2 linked regions of the Lonchura striata genome follow. The protein of the gene in region 2 binds, or shares a complex with, the protein of the main gene of each other region. Links are inferred from orthologs where the notes say so. Each region holds a gene or a part of one and is shown on either strand. Other genes may lie near its edges. The genes, in order: KIFBP and KIF18A.

Region 1 (9,563 bases), on a different chromosome or scaffold from region 2:
ATCTAAAAATCTCCACAAGTATAATCAGTAATCTAAACCAATTTCAAGGCAAAACCTGACCTGAACCTGTAACTTCATGAAACTAAGGTCTGTCCAACCTATTCAGCAGTCCTGAGACACAGCTATTGCTTCTTGAAGGCCACAAATGTTTTTAGCTCACTCCAGAACTGCCCCTGAGGCAAGTCAGTGTAGGAACAGCTTTGCAAAGAGCTTAAAAATAGCACAAGGAAGTCTTTGTAGTATACACAGCAGAATCCACAGCTCAAAAGGTTGTTTAATATGCATGAGAGGGTTAGCTGTCTGTGAGATTGTCCTCTTGGATATGGAACTGAACTACTTGCCCCTGCAAAACACTGCACAGCCAGAGCAAACCATGCAAATATTAGTTTTATTTCCTTTTCCCACTGAAAGCAATGGACATTTTTATTGCATTTCCAAGATAATATTTAACAATAGTCCTCATTAAAATCCAAATTCTACCAGGCATCAACTTTGGATTATTAAAGGGCTTTCAAAAGGGACCATTATTTTTGAGCAAATTTTTTTCTATTTTGAAATTAGCAAGTAATGCTCTAATTTGCCTTGTCCTATACTGCAGTACAACTTGTATCACTTGGCATAAGTATCACAGCAGCCAGTATAAAGCACAGAAACTCAAAATTCCATTGCATGTTTATTTCATGGATTACTTAACCTGGAAGTGGCACATGGGAGTAAGACCTGCCACGACATTAACACAATACCTCTTTCATGTACTGATTATACAAGGCTTCTGCAGATTCCAAGTAAGTTTGTGCAGTTTCAATTTCATCCCTTTGAGACCACAGGATCCCCAGATTGTTCTAAAGGTAAAAGAAAAAAAAAAATAGTCACATTCCATTTTAATCACACATTTTTTTCCAAACAATTCATCAGTCTTCATCCTTATATATATTTGTGTTCTAATACCATGGATTTCAAAAGGCAGAAATTGTACCCACACATTTCACTGTGAGTTGCTCAAAAGGGAGGGAGTTTTCACACAGAAAATTTCATATAAAAATGTACCTCAATCCTACTCTGTTCACTCTGCTAGAGAAGGACTAGTGTGTTCAAATAATGAGCTTTTTCCACAGAGTATGTTCTGCATCCAATTCATGCAGCTTTTACATCACAGACAAATGTCATAAAAAGAGACAAGAAATCAGAATTTTGTTAACATGACTCCACAGAAAAAATTAACAAGAAAAAAATATGCTAGGAATGAATGCTTGTATATTTGAACCATGGAAAGGATGAAAAGCACCTCTGAGGTCTAAAGGTTATAGACTACTGCCTTCAAAATTAAATTAAAGCAACTGCATCTCTGAACCCAACTTTAACAAAAAAAACCTCTCATTTTATTAATAAGGTGGTGTTTATAATAATCCTAATGATGTGCTAGTTTAAATCCTAGGCAGTGCTGTTACGAAACTCAAAAGAAAAAAAAACCCTAAAAACCTTCAAAATAATTAGAATGTACAGCTGTATGCCAGCCCTCTGCCCCTTTCAACTCCATTCTACTATTTTTATAAGAAAGCACATCCCATGTTGTTTATGAACTGAAACACTTTGCCGAAGGCCAAGCAGTGGAACAGACCAGACTCCATTAGGCAGAGACTGGGAAACACAATCTTATGCAAGAGCTCAGAAATCAGAAGTGGGGCTAAAAAAGAGGCCCAGCAGGAAAAAGGAATGCTTCTTCCTACAAAATGCCAGTCAGTGCCATGGCAACACAGTGTAGACACCTCACAAGGTGGAAAAGTACTTCCACTGATGGCAATCACTGCTTTAAAGTCAGAAATGGTTTAAAGTAAGTACTCAAGCCTGTTCCAGCCCTTGGGCTGAGGGCTCATTTCCCAGCGCTGTGCTCAGCTCCACCCCTCAGGACAGTGCCAGGTACCAGCAGAGCCAGCGCTGCTGGACCACATCTCCACATGCATAACAAACTCCGTCCTGCTGCTTCCTGAAGGCCCCGAAGCACTGAGGTCCTGCAGACTCTGGGCTAACAGAGAGAGAGAAGAGCTGCCTTCCAGCACACCAGTTCAGAAGCACAGTGGAATCTCTGGTCCTGAGCCACATCTCCCCAGGAAGGTGTGGGAAGATGCTATTTTGCTCCAGCTGGAGCAATCTCCTTACCTTCCCAAGGGTAACAGAATTGTAGCAGCGTATCCAAACCCTCACGCTGAAATACAAGGAGCAGATGCAACCTCACTGTCCCAGACAACGCAGCCAATTTAACCAGTGTAAGACAAGTGATCCTTTCACTTCCACCTTTCCATGTCAGCCCACAATTCCTTGACAGTTCGATGAGGAAGCACTATAGAGCCATCTCTAATTAGGGCAACCGTTTTTGACACAGATATCTAAATAACTGCTCTATTTCATATACTAGAAAACTATTTCATGGTCTAGAGTCAGATACCTAACCACCAGCTACCATGACAGAGGATCAAGTACGGGCCCTTCTGTGAATCCTCATGCACCAAGAACTAATTTTGGTAACAGTATTCCCTTCTTCAGAATAAAGAGAAAATATTATTACTTCAAGCACCAACAAAACTGTATTTATCCATCTGGGACAAAATGTAATAGCTTACAATATAAGAGGCAGTGCTGAAAAACAAACAATATATTGTTTCAGGATAATGCATCAATAAAGCATCCCCCAGCATCACTCTGACAACCAGCGAGTTAAGGAATCACAAATTCTGGACGTAGTGAGGTCTTTTTCTAATTTTTTCGGGCACAGTTCTTACAAGTTTTGTCTCAGCCTGTCCAGAAGAGCACGCTGATCTATCAACACCCAGCTTCAACGAGGCCATATTTCAGATGCTCCGCATGCCCAGAGGCATCAGCAGGAGGCTCAAAACAGAAAAGCACCCCTCCAACGGCCACCACTTGCGAACGACTCCTTCCGGCAAGAACTGAAGGCCAGGGCTGCTGTGTTTATTACGGTTAAACGAGCAGCAGCTGTCAGGACGCGGGAGCCCGGATCTCCTCACAGTCCCCCGCATAGAGCAGCCGGCCCAGCCCCCAGACACCAGGCCCCGCTCCGCCGGAGCCCCGCGCCCAGCCCCGCGGCCTGCAGCCCACCTGGGCCTGGATGTACAGGGACACGCAGTCCGGGGACAGGCGGTGCGGCTCCAGCAGCTGCGTGCAGCGCTGCAGGTGCTCCTCGCCGGCCGACAGCTCCTCGGTGTCCGTGTGGTTGACGCCCAGCTCGTACTCCAGCACGGCCCGCCGCACGGCCAGCACCGCCTCGCCGCCCTCCTCGGCGGCGCTCAGCAGCTGCTTCACCTCCTGCAGCAGCGCCCGGGCGCTGTACTTGGAGCGGTAGGGCTCCGTCTCGGGGTCCTTGAGGGACTCCACGGCCGAGAGCGTGCGGGCGGCGCGGAACTTCTCGCACACCGCGGGCCAGCCGGCGCCCGCCGCCATCTTCCCGCCTGCCCGCGCGCCGCCCCGCCCCGCCATGGCCGCGCCCCCGGCGGGCCGTGAGGGAGCGCCCGCAGCGCGGCCAGCCCGCCGCCCGCTCAGGCTGGACGCCAGCTTTTATGACAAAAATTTATTTCAGAACTCGATTTTTTAGCGCTGCTGAAGAGCCACGGAGCGGTCACTGTCCGTGCTTGGATGAATTCTGGTCCCTCGCAGGGCTGAGTTTCCAGGCACACCCACTGGGTCACATATGCCCTTACAGGCAGCAGCTACTTTGCTGGGCAGAAAAAAAAATCTCACACAACACCCAGCCATTTCAGCAAACATGATTTTTCGCCATCCTCAAAGACAAGGTTGCTTTATCAAGGAATAAAGACAAAGAGGAGGCTAACAGGTTTTTACTGCCTCATAAAATTCAGTTCAGTCCCACTATTTGTAGGGGAGATCAATCAAGTGCTCTGTTGAAGTCCCCGATTTCCGCTCTTGAACCAGCTGTTTCTCTTGAAGTCTCCTTGCCTGCTGTTCCCAAACCTGGAGAAGCCTCGTCCCCCCTCCTGCGGATACTCCTCCAGCTCAGGCAGCTCACTGGCCACCGACAGCTGCCAGCGCCGCGTGTCCCTCCACTGCTCCTGAAACAAGACCCATGGAACCAGACTTTATGCTAAGGCATTTCCAGACAAATCCCACTCCTGCCAAAACAGGCCATTAGATCCCCCTGGGAGACCCTCACAGTCCTGTGACAAAGGTTAAACAATCACAAGGGACAAGAGAGAATGAAGTCAACAGAAAACTGGTGAATTCTCAAGTACACTGGAGAGGCCAGACCACAGAAAAGCCAAAGACCTTAGAATTTTGTTTAATGAAATCAAGTAATATCATGGAAATGAGAAGAGGCATGGCAGGGTATTTTCTAATGATTATGCTGTGCTCTTTCTAATCACTCTGTTGCCTATGCAAAATTCTTATTAAACCACAAACCTCCCTAACCACCCCATACTCAATCTTATATGGCAATTGCCAGTTTTCATATCACCAGGTTTTAAAGCCAGCTCTGGCTACACAAACATACCTGTATACTACTTAGTTCATCAACAGGGATATCAAAGCACACGCCCTAAAAAAACAAACAAAAAGAGGCACTGATTAACAATGAAAGAATAAAAGCCTCAGTAACCAATCCCACTACATATTATTTCTGATGCTTTTTTTTAGGAGGCAATTCCTGCATCATCATATATGAGTACTATCTAATAAGTCTTTTAAAGCCCTCAACTAATATCAAAGCCTTTTCTTTTCCCAATAGCATATGCATAAACAGCATACTCATGCTAGGTTACCCATTTCCTGAGAAATGAGATTGAGTAGGGACAGTGCAGTACCAACATTCTGTACCAATACTTCAGAACTCCAGCCTCAATCCCTGCACAAACTGGCGACATGTGAACACACACAAAGCCCCACATCCCTTCATTGCCAAGGCTGGGCCACCTTACCATCTTCCCCTTGAGGAAACGCATTGCAGACACTTTGTTATCGACCTCCTCCCCAAGCTGCTCCTTCAGCCCCCGCCAGGCATAGCGCATGCTATGCATCTCTATTGAACACTTCAACACCATGGTCACAAAGCCCTGCAGGAAATGGAGAAAAACGTTTATCAAGGCTGAACGTGGTCAAACCTGCTGCTAGAAAACAGATTAAAAAACCCAAAGTGATAGAAGAATTACAATTCAATCAGACAGTTACGTGCAAAATGGGGTTACCACACAAGGGCCTAGGCCACATCCTCCCTAAATACAGATCAGGTAATCACAGGCTGTACTTGCATTACGACAAATGTAGAAGATTCTTGATAAGGGGGAAACCACAATAGCACAAACTAATCTATTTGCTTGTAAATTGTCATTAATTGTAAAATGTCATTAGTTAAACTCTCTTAGAGCATCAAAGTTTTCTGCCACTTCAGCCTCTGGAGAAATTCTTTCCATTTTCATCACAAGAAAGTTTACTGATTTTAAGTTTCTCCTGGAACAGCTGATTTCAGCTAAGGAACCTGGGGACAACAGCTATTCAGAAACCCAGAAGGAAAAGCCTGGGAATGAGATGCCAGACATGGCCTAAACACAAGCAATTCATGCATCCATCCTTTTTACCAGGGGTACATCATTACTTACAGCTGTTGAGTTGAGCAGGGAGCGCTGCTGGATGTGAGCTGCCCCAGAAATGTGTGCCAGGGCTGCAGCCAGGGCAGCCACTGCCCCCTTCTCATTTATCAGCTCCTCGGCCGATTTTCTGAAGTAGTCCACTGCAGCAGGAGGAACAGCCTCCAACAACCTACACAGTTACAAGATGGGTTTAAAGAGATAAGAAAAGGCCATTGTGAAGGGCAGCCATGTTTAAGATATACCCTAAATCAGTCTTTTCTGAAAAAGGTAGGGAGGGAAAAAAGATAGGAATCCAAGAAGAGATACTTCTGTAATGCTATTTCTGGTACAACCACTCCCCCCATCATTTTTCAGTACACTGTGAACCCAAATACCATGCCCATCATCTACTTTATACTGGTCAAATCCTCACTAATTATAATAACCTGCTTCAAGGCAATTTCCACCACAGGGCAGCAAATTTAAACAGAGCTGCATGATGTAAACAGAGCCACAACCCTCAGAAATAATATAATGAAACAAAAGTCAGGGCTAAAACACCCTCACTACTGCAGAATAACTCCTCATTATACCAAGTATTGCTCTTTGCGCACTGCTTCCACCACGTCATCTGAGCAGATAAAATCATCTTCCCCTCTTGATAGTAATTCCTTCTTCTGTCACTGATTTCTGATTTTATAAACAAAGGTTCGTTTGCTGCAAAAACTTAGAGAACATTATGTTCTATGAAAATGTCTGTGTTCAGCACACAGAGCGTTACTGATACCATCTTATGTTTGCTATACACAAAGCAGCTGACTTCTACAACACAGGCAAAGCCATGCTCACATGTAGGCCTGATCCCTTAAAATTGTGCATTAAACTCTTAAGCATCTAGAGCAACAACATCTCTAAATCTTTCTCAAGAACAGGCAAATAAACTTACTTTTTGGCATCACTACTTGAAGCTTTAATTACATCTGTAGCAGAGGGAACACCCACACGCTTAAAGGTAATACCCTGAAATCAAGAAAACAAAGGTATTTTCAGCAGTCTACAATTCAGTCCTGTCTAAATTATGTAACTGAGATCTCTACTTACTGTTTGCAAGATCAACATACTCTTTATTAAGTCATTTCTAAAGTGATAAAAAAGCTTTTAAGTTCCCAGCTTTGTTAATCTGGAGTTACTTCACTCCAATGTACATGCACACTGTGATGCAAGGCACACAGTGCATGTTGCACGGGAAAACTCAGGCAATGCAAGAACAGGCCAACACAAAAGCATTTACAAACACCAAATATCAGCACTTTGGGCCTACTAGTTTATGGCACTGGACACTCCCATTCTGGACTCAGCAACCCACGATTACCAAGTCCAAGAGTGGCAGGGTCCTTTCAGGAGCTGATCCATTTCCTTAAGCAGAGCTCTGAGGTACAACTCACCGCTTTGTGCTCGACTTGCTTCAGAAGATCTTCTTCTCTTCTCTGAAACAAACAAATGCAGATGCCGGTCCGGCCCGCTCGGCCCGTGCGTCCAGAACGGTGGATGTAAGAATCCACATCCTTCACAAATTCAGATCAACACGAGAAAACTATGTTATTTAAACTGCTGACATTTCAGATTAAACACAAGCTAAATTCAAACTCAGAAGCCTAAGGAGTGACACATTATGTGTTTATACCCAAACTTACAATTACACATAAACCACTCAGGATTGCATGTGCTCCCCCACCCAAAGTATGCTGCTCAGCTTTAACAAACACTGCTGACAGACATTTTAAGTTTTCTAAATAAAATGTTCCACTGGAGTTGCAAAAGATTAAAAAAGCAGCAAAAATATTTTAGAATTTTTATGAAACTCAGCAACATGCAGAAAGAATTCAGGAAAGTTTCACAATGTCAAAACCTGTGAGTTTCCAGAGTAAACAAAACCCAAGACTTTAATCAAAGCTCAAACTGAAAAACTGTAACTATGAAATTTTAGGCCTCACATTTACAAAACATTAATTAATTCAAAAATTAATTGGAACAGAACATACTTCTGATGAAACAAAGGAATAACCCACTATTCTGGCACCAAAATAAAGCTAATCCAATTTTAGTTTCCTCTAATGACTTACTTTTGGTGGTGAGCACTGTATAACAAGGTCAACCTCAGGAATATCCAAACCACGGGCAGCTACATTTGTTGCAATCAGCACTTCGAACACACCATTTCTGAAGCCTTTTAATGTGATTTCTCTCTGTTTCTGTGGAATGTCACCATGCAAGGACTGGGCATCCTGTCAATAAAACAAGCCATTAACATGACATTTAATGGGAGTCTAGGCTGCAGCATCTAAAGAGTAACTGCAAACCTCAAAACACTGTGCACAGCAACAGAAAATAATTACATAGCTGATACCAAAGGAATATAAAGCATCCTACTTTATTTGATCCTTCTCTGGGATTTACTGTGAAAGCAGCATGGCCAACAAGCAGAAATTATTGCTGCAATTTTTTATTGCGGATGGTACATAGGCAAACCATGTATTCCCATCACTTTTACTCTCCATAAATCAACATTTATTATCAAACAGGATTTTCTCTGAGAATTATGCAGCACTTTTCCTCACATTCAGAAAAAGGGCAGTAATTCAAGCAAGCACGAAAGACTTGCTCAACAGATCACTTTGGTAAACCTTCCAAGGGCAACAAGACATCTCATTCTACCATATTGGATTTTCCTAAATGACTGTTCAAAGACCAAATGCCATTAATAAATGGGAATCCAAAAAGCACATTAACACAAGATGGGACTTGTCCACTACACTAGCTCCTGTTTCTTGCAATTAGTACTATCTCCTGGTTATTCAGCATAGGCTGTGTATTTCCTATTGATCCATTCCTACACTAATTTAAAGCCAAAGGAATAAATTCATCATCTCTGTCACGAGGATATTTTAACTTCAAAGCTGAATTTTTAGAAACAAGTCTTAAAATCATGCACAGGAACAATTTTCTCTACACAGTTGCAACCTCCTATTTACTTCAGGGCATTCAACGCCTGGCAATCCCAACCACTCAGCTCTGGTACCTGTTTGAGAGAAGCATTCATAGCCAACTCATTTGCTTCCTTTTTGGTCTCACAAAAGACAATGGTCCGCCCATGGCTGCCACTGTAGACCTGGATGATGTCCCCAAGAACTCCTGCCCTCTGAGATGAGCGACACTGTATGGCCAAGTGCTGTTTGGGAAAGAAACAAGAAACCTATGTTAATCTGAGACACACACACACAGGACGGACAGCATGAACAAAAGAAGCATTTTAATTTTTTTTTTAAGCTTGCAAACAACAGGTCCCACATGTAAGCTTTGCTTACAAAATCTGTGTGTCGGCTATGTGAAAAGTCATTCCACACACCTATTTATAAAATCAATGCATAACCCATGTTATCAAGGCCACTTGCTCTCAGGATCTGCACTTCTCTGCAGCAGAACTCACTTCCACAGTTGTGGCTGTCCTTTGAGTCTTCTTTCCAATCAGGTCAATCTGTTCATATTCATCTCGCATGTATTTTTTTGCTACATCATAAACCCATCGTGGACAAGTTGCAGAGAACAGCAGCGTCTGCGGGTTGTTCTCGGAGCCTGCAAGGAAAGGCCATCGACTTCAGGTATCTCAAAAGATCCTGACACTTGAAAACTGATAAAAAAAGCAAGAGTTGCTCTTACGCTGACAGATTTCTATGTGCACTAAGTCTGTACAAGATGTGAAGAAACACTGCCAGCTATCAGCTTTTCATGGCTTTCAAAGCCATAGTGATAAGTCTTGCTCTTAGTATTTGCTGAGATTTCTATTTCCAGTAATTCAAGCCTTTTCCAAAATTCTGGGACATTACTGAAATGTGGCAAGGAGTTTCACACATTAAAATAACATCCTTCTGCACCATACCTGGTACCTTACAGCTTTGCTGAACACCCACT
Region 2 (9,371 bases):
GCAATGCCAAGATATTTTAGCCCAAAAACAAATCTTCCAAAATCTGCTGGATAAGCATCAAGTCAATGTACCCTTTTGATATCAAAGACTGAATGCTTCTATATTTTCATTCAACAAGACTAGCAGGTTTTTTTCCACAATGTACTTTTAACTAATTAATTAGATTTTCAAGTTACTGGTGCTTATTGCCAGAAAAAAACCCACTAGGAAATGATCAAATTCCATTAAACTCTCACATAGAACAATGGGAATGTTCTCAAATATCTCAAGCACATTTTAAGTTTCTAGAGATATTTACACACCTGATGCAGTGTCAGACCTTGAACTACCACCCCTTGCTGGCCATCCTCACGAACAGCCAGAGGTCCAGAGTTGACCAGCAGATCACGAATCTGTTCATTGTAAACCTTTGAAAGGAAATGAAAAAGATATTTTTATAAAAATATCTTCCCATAGCTGACAGAATTAAATAAACAGAATTCACCAGTCTTTTTTAATACTCCTTTAGGACAAAGAAAAGAATTCTGGCTATAATTTTTTTACATTTTCCCCATACCAAGCTTAAATATTCAATTCATATGATTTCTTTTTAGATTTTAGGAGTAATTATTTTTAGTAAATAATCTTTATTCTTTATTGAAAAAATTACCTTTTTTTACAAAAAAACAGTTTTGCAACAAGCATGAATGCAAAGCATTTGGTTTTCCCCATTGTGTATCACAATCCCTACTTCAGTGACATTTCTTAGTTCAAACCTACTTCTGTTAAAATTTTTAAATCTCTTATTTCTTGGTCTGTAGAAGCATATGGCAAGGCAAACTTTCCCCATCTCCTTCTACCCCTCCCAAGTACCAACTAGAGTCCATTAAGACACTGAAGGAGCTAAAAAGATAACCATTTGACTAGCACCCTTCAGCAACAGTGCCAAAACATTTATTTGTAAAAACAGAAGACCATTTTGTGGTGCTTTTTCACAGTATTACAGGATGTTACTGTGAAGTCCTAAAATATTACCCTGAAATGATATTTCCTTGTACACATCAACAGATGCTCAGAGGCAAGACACAAATCATGAACAATCAGTAAGTATGGTAGAAGTGGTGTTTTTTGGGCAGCATTCTGTAAAACAGTGATAGGTGCCTAGGAACACAAATCACCAACAAGGAACACCAACAAGGCAGTTCCACTCCTATAAGGACACCTTTTGTCAAGCCCCAGAAAGGACCAGAGGAAAGCAAAACCAGCTTGTCTTTACTTACAAATATGACTTATTCAAAGCAACATATAAAATGCAGGAACTCACCTCCAAATAAGAGACAGCAACATCACATGTTTTATCATCTTTTATTTGATCCATGCGTTTATAAAGTGTGACCATAGTTAAATACATGACTCCAGGATCTTCAGGAGAACCTAACATTGTGTGAGTCTTTCCAGCTCCTGTTGCACCATATGCAAGCACTGAATTTCCCCCAAACAACGACAAAACAAAAACATGTAACTTATTTGTAAGCTAATCAGGAACACCAAAGACAAAAGAACATTTATAGACCTCTGTCATTCTGCACAACTGTTTCATAAATAGATAGTTTCTTACTTAAACTTTACCTTTCAGATCTCTAATTAGAGATGTTTCCAAATAACATTTTCGAATTTTCAGTTCAAAATTCATTCACTGCTACGTCACATAAAAATATTATTTACTTACTCTCATAACCCTAAGCCATCAACTTATTGCTGATAGGCATTTCAATTCCTCACCAGAGTCCAGCAGCCAATTAAAAAGCCCCAAGATCTTAAAGAGTTCATAAAGCAGCTTATGTCATACACTCAGTGACACAACTGCTTCTGCTTGAATAACTCTAGAGGACTCCCATTATCACATATATTTTAGATAAAATTCCCAAGTCTATTATAACCTTAACACAAACTTATTTTTAAAATGGAGTAGAGCTATCTAACTTCTATATGCTAAAATGTCAGCCTTTCATATCTGTGAATTAAATCACAATGCTTTATTTCTATCTCAGGCTTTTTTAACGCTCCTGCAGCTATTGGACAGAATGGTACAAATGTTGAGAAATCCCCGTAAGTTTTTCAATTAAATAAGATAAATAACAAAGTTACCTGTACAGTTATATCCATTTAGGAAGCCATCAATTAGATTTTTGGTAGTATGCTCAAAAACTTCCAACTGGGATGAGCTGTCATCAAAAATGGCATCAAACATGAACTTCAGGTCTTTCCTTTGTCTTTTATTGATATCCCTATGGATCACTCTCCTTCTGCTGAAGAAGCCAACCTCTTCCTCCTTTGGGTCAAAGACCAGCACGTGCTGGTCAATGACACGCACCACCCTGCTGAAGCTGCCCTGCTTTTCTTTCTGGCTCTCTGGCCGGACACGGACCACCACTTTGACATGGCTGCAGACATCTTCCCTGGCTGGAGTCATCCCTCCTGCTCCCCAGCCTCACTGCCAGCACTCGGTCAGATCCAGCAGCTGAATCCTTTCTGCAATTGACACAGAGAACATTTATTTCAATATGAGCCTTCACTCTTTCCAGCCATTCACACATTCGGTCAGGGCCCTGTGCTGGGCCCATCCCTTGTCATGGGACTGCCCCAGGGCAGCGAGGCTTTGGGAAGCTCTGTAAGCGCCCCAAAGGATGACTGAACTCAGCACAGCTCTCAGAAAGCCGACCAGCACTGCCCCAGGGAACTCTGAAGTTCATTTCACAATTCAAATACTCAATGCCCTACAGGCTTCCCTCTATAGCAGACCCAGCTTTCAGACCGGACACCACGTTTCTGTGGGCTAAAGCCAGCAGCCTTTCCCGTGTTGCCCTCCCTGGACAGACACAGCCACGTCGCAGGGAGCGTTGAAGAGCTGAAGCGGGATTTAGGTGAAGGTGCCCGGCACGGGCCGCAGTGACCGACACGAGCGGGATTTCCTCGCATATCCCATTTCTGCGGTTCCCAGCGGCTGCGCTCACCCCAGCGGCGGACACGGCGCAGCTCCCGCTGCCGGCCCAGGGCCGGCTCCTCTCCCGGCCGAGCCGCTGCCGGCCCGCCCGGCTCCGCGGCAGCGCCTGGCCCCGCGGGCCGCTCCTCCCCGGGGCACGGCGCCGGGCCGGGCCCTGCGGCCGGAGCGCTCCAGGGCCGGCCGCAGAGCCGCTGCCGGGCTCCGCCTGCGGCCGGGGCTCCGCTCCCCGTGCCCGGGGCTCGGCCGGCCGTGCCCGGGCCGTGCCCGCTCCCTCGCCGGGCCGTGCCCGCTCCCTCGCTCCGTCTCTCACCGGACCGTGCTCGCTCTCTCGCTCCGTCTCTCGCTCCGTCTCTCCCCGAGCCGTGCTCGCTGTCTCGCTCTGCTCTCCCCGAGCCGTGCCCGCTCTCTCTCTCGCTCTCTCGCTCTGCTCTCCCCGGGCCGTGCCCGCTCTCTCTCTCGCTCTCTCGCTCTCTCGCTCTCTCGCTCTGCTCTCCCCGGGCCGTGCCCGCTCTCTCTCTCGCTCTCTCGCTCCGCTCTCCCCGCGGCCGCACCAGCACCAACCGCCATCCGCCGGCCGCGGGATTCAAACCCGGCCAGGCCGCGCTCCTCGCCTTCCCATTGGCTGTGGCCTGTGACGTCACCGGAGCGCCGGCGGTAAGTGCGTGAGGCCGGGCGCGCGGGGGGCGGCGGCGGGGCCCGCGGGGAGGGAAGAGAGGGCGCGGAGGGAAGGGCGGCCGGCGTGAGGGAAGGGAGGCGCTCCCGGGGCGGCCTCTGCTCCGCGTATCGGTCCGGCCCGGCCCGGCTTGGCCGGGGACAGCCCCCGGCCGCTCCTCCCGCTCGGGCCCGGCGCGGGCCGCGGCCGCTGCCGCTGCTCCGGTCGGCTCTGACCGAAAGTGCTTCGGGCGGGGATTTTGTCCTCGCTGCTTTAGCGCAGGGCCGATCCCAGGGCGGCAGCCTGCAGTGGGGCCCGGTTCCCTTCTGGCGAGCACTGTTAGAGAAATGAAATGAAATCCGGCCGGCGTGCTCGCCGCTGAGATCTCCCGTGGGCAGGAGGCCGTGGCTGTGAGCGGAGTCCCTCGCGTCACCCCCGGGCCGGGCAGGGGATGGTGGCCCTGGTCCCGTTCAGCCGCTCCTCGCCCTCACAGAGGGGCCGGGACAGAAGGGGAAGGGTGGGAAGGCAGAAACAGCGGCTGAGTGGAGAGAGTTTCACGGGGGAGTCAAAGGCTGTGCAGGCAGGCAGAGCAAAACAAGGAATGCCTTCCCCTGGTCCAGCCATCTCCAGGAGAGCGGGGCCCATCGCAGATAACAGTGGTCACTTGGGAACACCAATGCCACCACCCCAGTCGTCCTCTTCCCGCGTTTCTGTCCGGATTACCGTGTCCTTTGGTCTGGAATATCCCTTGGGTGCATCTGGGTCTCCTGCCCAGCTGTGTCTCCTCCGTGCTGTGCCAGCAGAAATCCAAACCAGCCCCAGCTCAGCTGCTGGGGAGAAAATTAACTCCAGCCCGGGCAAAACCAGCAGAGCACACCATGGTCATAGATGTGTTTTCTGTAGGCACACTATGGCTTGTGGTGAAACACACACCTGCGTGTCTGCCCAAAGCTAGAGTGAGGTGCACTTGCAAATTTAAGCTGGGGGAATTACTGTAAAGTCCCTGTAGTCTGTATTGGAAGCAAAGACTACAAATTAGATTTTACCAGTCTACCTCACTGCTCAATGAAAAGTCAGTTCCAGTAAGTCCACACATAAAGAAAATACCTGAAATATGTAATTACTCAAAATACAATATAAAAGTCTCAGAAAAACACTAGATGAGATATTCCTATTTGTGTAAAAAGGTTTGGAGAAATTTCTTAACCCACGCCACTGAATCACCTTTATGTCAGGCTCCATCTGTAGAATTCTTACTCATGTAAATAATATAGGGCTTGAATTCCTGTTTTCTCCAGTGATTTTTAAACCTTTGCATTTCACTTGAAAAAGAGAAAAAGGGAATCTCAGAAGCCTGATTTTGCCATTTCTAGCAGTGTGGAAAGGGGCAGACATAGAAGGAGAGTTTTTTGATTGAAAGAATATGTAAGGTTGTGAGATGACATGAATTTCAGACTTTATCAGTAAAATTAAATGTGTAGTATTTAACATGTATTAAGTCATGCTGCCCATAAGAATATTGGCTATCCAAGAGATTTGTCAATTTTACAATAATAGAACTGCCATAAATGAGACCATAATTAAAACCTTATATTGAAAATTATCTGTTTCTAAATTAGTAAGTGTTGGAATCAAGGATCAGTTTCCCAAAAATTTGCTCGTATCTGAAGCAAAACATGTTGCCTGCTCATTTGTGCAGACAGATAGAAGCTACAGAAGGTAGTAAGTGATGCTATTTAACCCAGCAGGGATGAAACAGTTACTGAAATTGAGAAGAAACGATTTGTGATTTCATGGCCATGCTATCAAAATATCTGAACAGTCACTGTGTGCACCCAGACAGTGGCATTTGGAGTGAAGAGGTGAGGCAAAGACAGGAACAAAAGGCTAGGAAGTGGCGGTGGTTGTGGGCGGGAATTGTTGGAGATCTTTGGGTCAGTTCAGGGGAGCATAACCCTTGAGCCTTGCAGCGTGGCATCAGTGCAGTTTGCCAGAGCAGCTGTACCACCATCCCTGTTCAAACAGCCCACTGACCTCTCCAAGCAGCAGAACAAAGGATTAACACAGCAGAACTGACAGGTAAACCTTCCCATTTCAAGTTAGGCATGTTTCAGTGGAAACGAGGGAACAGAGTTAACAACGAGAACTGAACCCACCTCTCTATGGTCTGAAAGTTGGTGGGGATTCTTCCAAACAGTATAGTCTCCAGTGAGAGACTATTATGTTTCTACACAAGAGTGAGAGGCAGTTATAAATAATTATAGCATATAATATAACATAATATAACATAATATAATAAATATAGCTATATTAACAATATATATTATATAGTTGTATTAGTTTAATATATAATACTAGTATATATAATTCAATATATAGTATTACATACAATAGATATAAATAGATATATATACTATACTTACATATAAAAAATACTATTTATATATAATATTAGCTTTAAGTGTGTATGGTCACACTTTATGGAGTGTGAGACATTTCTGCATGTCCTCTGATAGAGCTAAGGGTAAGAGGTCAGCACATCTATTTTTCTTGGTGAAGGCCTGTTTAAAGAAAAATCTATGTTATGTATGGCAAGACAAATGAGGGTCTTTGCCTAGCATGTGGATTTAGGTTTCCACTTCATTTAATTCTGATGAATTTTTAAATTTCTGTTTATTTTCACAGCCAAAAGCCTGCTTTTATAATATATATCCCATAAAACCTGTCCATAGTCTCTACAGTTCATAATTGAGGAATGAACAGGAAGAGATGAAAGACAGCAAAATAGGTTACTGGGAAACTGATGATCTTTTAAAATAAAATTAGTATATGTTAAATTAAAAGTAAGAGACATTAAAGAGAAAATGCCAAACTGAAATAAAAATGGTCAGTGATGACTAGGAAAGCTATCACATGAGCATAGTAATAAGACATGTAACTGACAATAAAAATGGCTGAGATTAAATAATGGGAAGTGAATTAATGAGAGGAAAATCTGCTACTCTTCCCAAAGGTAGAGCTGGAAGCTAAAGAAACAACTAGTTATTTTAAGTCTTGGAGAATAGGCAGTGGAATTATTGAGGGTGTGAAGAGAGTGTACTGACGTGAAAATAAATTTTGGGAAAACATTACTGAAAATATTAAAGCAAGCTCTTTTATGGCTTCAACAATAAAGATTAAAGCCAGCTTGTCCTGATTTCAAAGTTACCTTCAAGGTTGTACAAGTAGCAATCCCATAGAAAGCCAAATGAATCCGAAAAAATGTAGCCCTTCTCTGGAGAAGAGGCAGGATTGGTGTAGAGAAGGTCACTGGTCCTAGAAGGTCCATCCCCCTTTCTCCTCTGAGCTGCAGAAGGGGAAGTGGAAAATGCAGTTACCTGACAGCTCTACTGCCCAGACAATTGAACTAGTAGCAGATCCAAAAGAAGAAAAAAAAGGTGTCTCATAACAGCCCAGCCCCAGACTGAGCAAGAGCAAAGGACCAAATCCAAATTCCACAAGTATGGAAGACTTGGAAGATTTGAATATTAGTTAATTTAATTTCATGTCATTTAAGATAGCTGTTTCAGGCACGTGTTATTCACATGAAAAAAGTGTTCTGGTGATGGGACTATTAAACCCTCTGTTTTCTATTTCTTATCTGCTGGGGTGTTGTTATTACTAATATTACTGCTACCGAATTCACACTGTAGAAACGTCAAACATAGCAACAGAAATTATGACCCAGGCCATTAAGAGCAGAAAAACAAACTTTCCCTGAAAACAAACATTATTCAAAAATTTTTAAAAATGGATAGAGGGAAGAAGTGAACCTAGACATGTGTTCCACTTCTGCACATAACAGAAATACCAGGAATAAAATTACTAAGAATATGTCCAAAAGGTGTGGTGCTGAAAAAGAGGAGCCATAACTAAATTTTTTTTTCCTGACTTTTGTGATGTCATTTTAAATTTTAGTAACTTAAAAAATGCTTTATTAAAAATATCCTATCAATCACAAACTATCTCACAAGATACCCTCATGATTTTCATACATCATTCTTCCCCCTTACCAATGTTTCCTGCCCTTCTGATATTGTCATCTGAGTGTGGCAACTTGAAGCATTTATGGCAATATGCTGTAGATGCACTCAGGTTAAATAACAAACTGAAAAACCTGAAAGCTTTTTATCCTAACCCAGGCAACTCCATGTGCAGGTGTGTTGGCACAACCAAAACTGCGGCATGGGGTCAGGAGCAATTGTCTAGAAACAAAAGACTAAAACTGGCTTTCTGGCTTAAAAGAAGAAAGGATCCTATCAGAGTATGCAGGTAGGAAGGCTGTATTAAACAGAGATGTAAATAAAAAAAATATAAATATATTATATAAAAAAAGAATCTCTGGCATGTCACAGAAATACTCATGAATAAAAGGAAAAAAAAAATCTTCCTTTATAATGTTAACAGTGATTGTCTAGTATGGCTCTTAAAGTCTGGTTCTTATGCGCAGAATTGGTTAAACAAGAGAAAGAATGGCCTTGGATTCTTGCCCTTTATTGGCCTTGAACATCACTCAGAGAACAAAGATAATAGACTTCTTCACCTTGTCCCCTTCTTTTTGTGAGAAAGGACATCTGCAACATATTTACAGAAAAAAAATGATGCACTATGCAATGAAAAAAACTCTTGATATACGTACATGGTAGATAAAATAATTTGTGGGCTGCAGTTATACTGGAAAAGTTAGCTCTTCAGAAAGGATGATTTGTTGTTTCCTATGCCTGTGTCCTGGTTCTGGACAGGACAGGGTTAATTATTGCAGTAGGCAGGAGAGGCCATGGCCAGAACCCAGAGGCAATTTTATAGCACCTCATGTCATTTTCTGGGCATGGGGAAAGGGTCCTTTCCCAGGGCAGGGCAGAGTGGTGGCAGTCAGATATTGTTTGTGGTAGAATGGTGAGAATTCCCGTGGGAATCCCTCCCCTCCCTTGTGCACTTTTGCTGTTTATTTGTTGGTTACTTTTTATTTTCTTATCCCATTGCATTTCCTGTAAACTGTTCTTACCTCAGCCCCTGATCTTCGCCTTCTGTGCTTCCCATTCTCCTCTCAGTGCCACACAGGAGTGGAGTGAGGCAGGGAAGAGGGAGTGAGCAGTGCATGTATTGGGGTGGTTCCAGTGGGAATACCAAGTTCAGGAGTGCCATTCCAAAACCACAGTGGCCGTGTGTGGTGCCCTGTGTGGGTCATGAAGGGTTGAGGTGACAACAGATCTGCCCAGAGCAGGCTGGAAACAAGCTCACTGTGTTGCTTGGTGTGTCCGTGTGGCCATGGCCCCTGACCCTGTGTATCTTTCCATTCTTGCACTCTGTGCCCACCACAGTGCTCCTTGTCCAAGCAGGGAGAGGAGTCAGGATTGCTGTGCTGTGGAATATCAGTTCATGACCTGGTGACAGCAAGGGCAATGCAGGTGTTTAGGATGTGTGTGCAGTGCTGCTCCCCTGCCCTTCCCTCAGGTACCACCTTTGGGAGTCCATTAATGATCATATCCAGTGTGTGGATCCAGGGGAGGGTGATTTTCCCCAGCCTTTTACCTCCTTTTCCTCCTTCAGGCCTGTTAAAACAGCTTTTGAGACTTGAGTTCCCTTTGGATGTTAAGGAAAGCATATTCTTGTTCCTAAGTCTTCCAGGTCCAGTGGGGTCCGTACCATGTTTAGAGTAATAAAAGAGATTTCTAGGGAGATTTGCCCCAAGAGTGG

Evidence for each region.
Region 1: the proteins of KIF18A (region 2) and KIFBP are in contact, whole or in part, in a cryo-EM structure (PDB 7RSI), measured with the Homo sapiens proteins. The link is inferred for Lonchura striata from reciprocal best matches to the Homo sapiens genes KIF18A and KIFBP. Residues at the interface, in NP_112494.3 of Homo sapiens: Glu181, Thr183, Gln184, Lys185, Gly186, Arg274, Phe275, Val276, Glu277, Gly278, Thr279, Asn280, Ile281, Arg283, Ser284, Leu285, Leu288, Gly289, Val291, Ile292, Arg314, Lys317, Asp318, Gly322, Asn323; in NP_056449.1 of Homo sapiens: Ser150, Glu151, Tyr212, Tyr213, Gln216, His220, Gln238, Ile251, Asn252, Thr255, Gln258, Asn262, Gly414, Tyr415, Val459, Asp460, Leu461, Asn462, Pro463, Gln464, Leu467.

Annotation. Positions count from the first base shown.
Region 1 is NC_134609.1:34,940,451-34,950,013, forward strand, and holds the start of KIFBP (KIF-binding protein), read right to left. Parts: upstream 3,485-9,563; 5' UTR 3,457-3,484; coding exon 3,115-3,456; intron 843-3,114; coding exon 744-842; intron 1-743. Other genes in the region: nucleolar RNA helicase 2, read right to left, coding at 3,903-4,082, 4,523-4,567, 4,947-5,081, 5,625-5,784, 6,541-6,614, 7,040-7,159, 7,718-7,879, 8,674-8,823 and 1 more. UniProt on the Homo sapiens protein: Activator of KIF1B plus-end-directed microtubule motor activity. Required for organization of axonal microtubules, and axonal outgrowth and maintenance during peripheral and central nervous system development.
Region 2 is NC_134608.1:61,992,285-62,001,655, reverse strand, and holds the start of KIF18A (kinesin-like protein KIF18A), read right to left. Parts: upstream 3,449-9,371; 5' UTR 3,294-3,448; intron 2,641-3,293; exon of another isoform or gene 2,512-2,640; 5' UTR 2,453-2,511; coding exon 2,128-2,452; intron 1,462-2,127; coding exon 1,304-1,461; intron 408-1,303; coding exon 303-407; intron 1-302.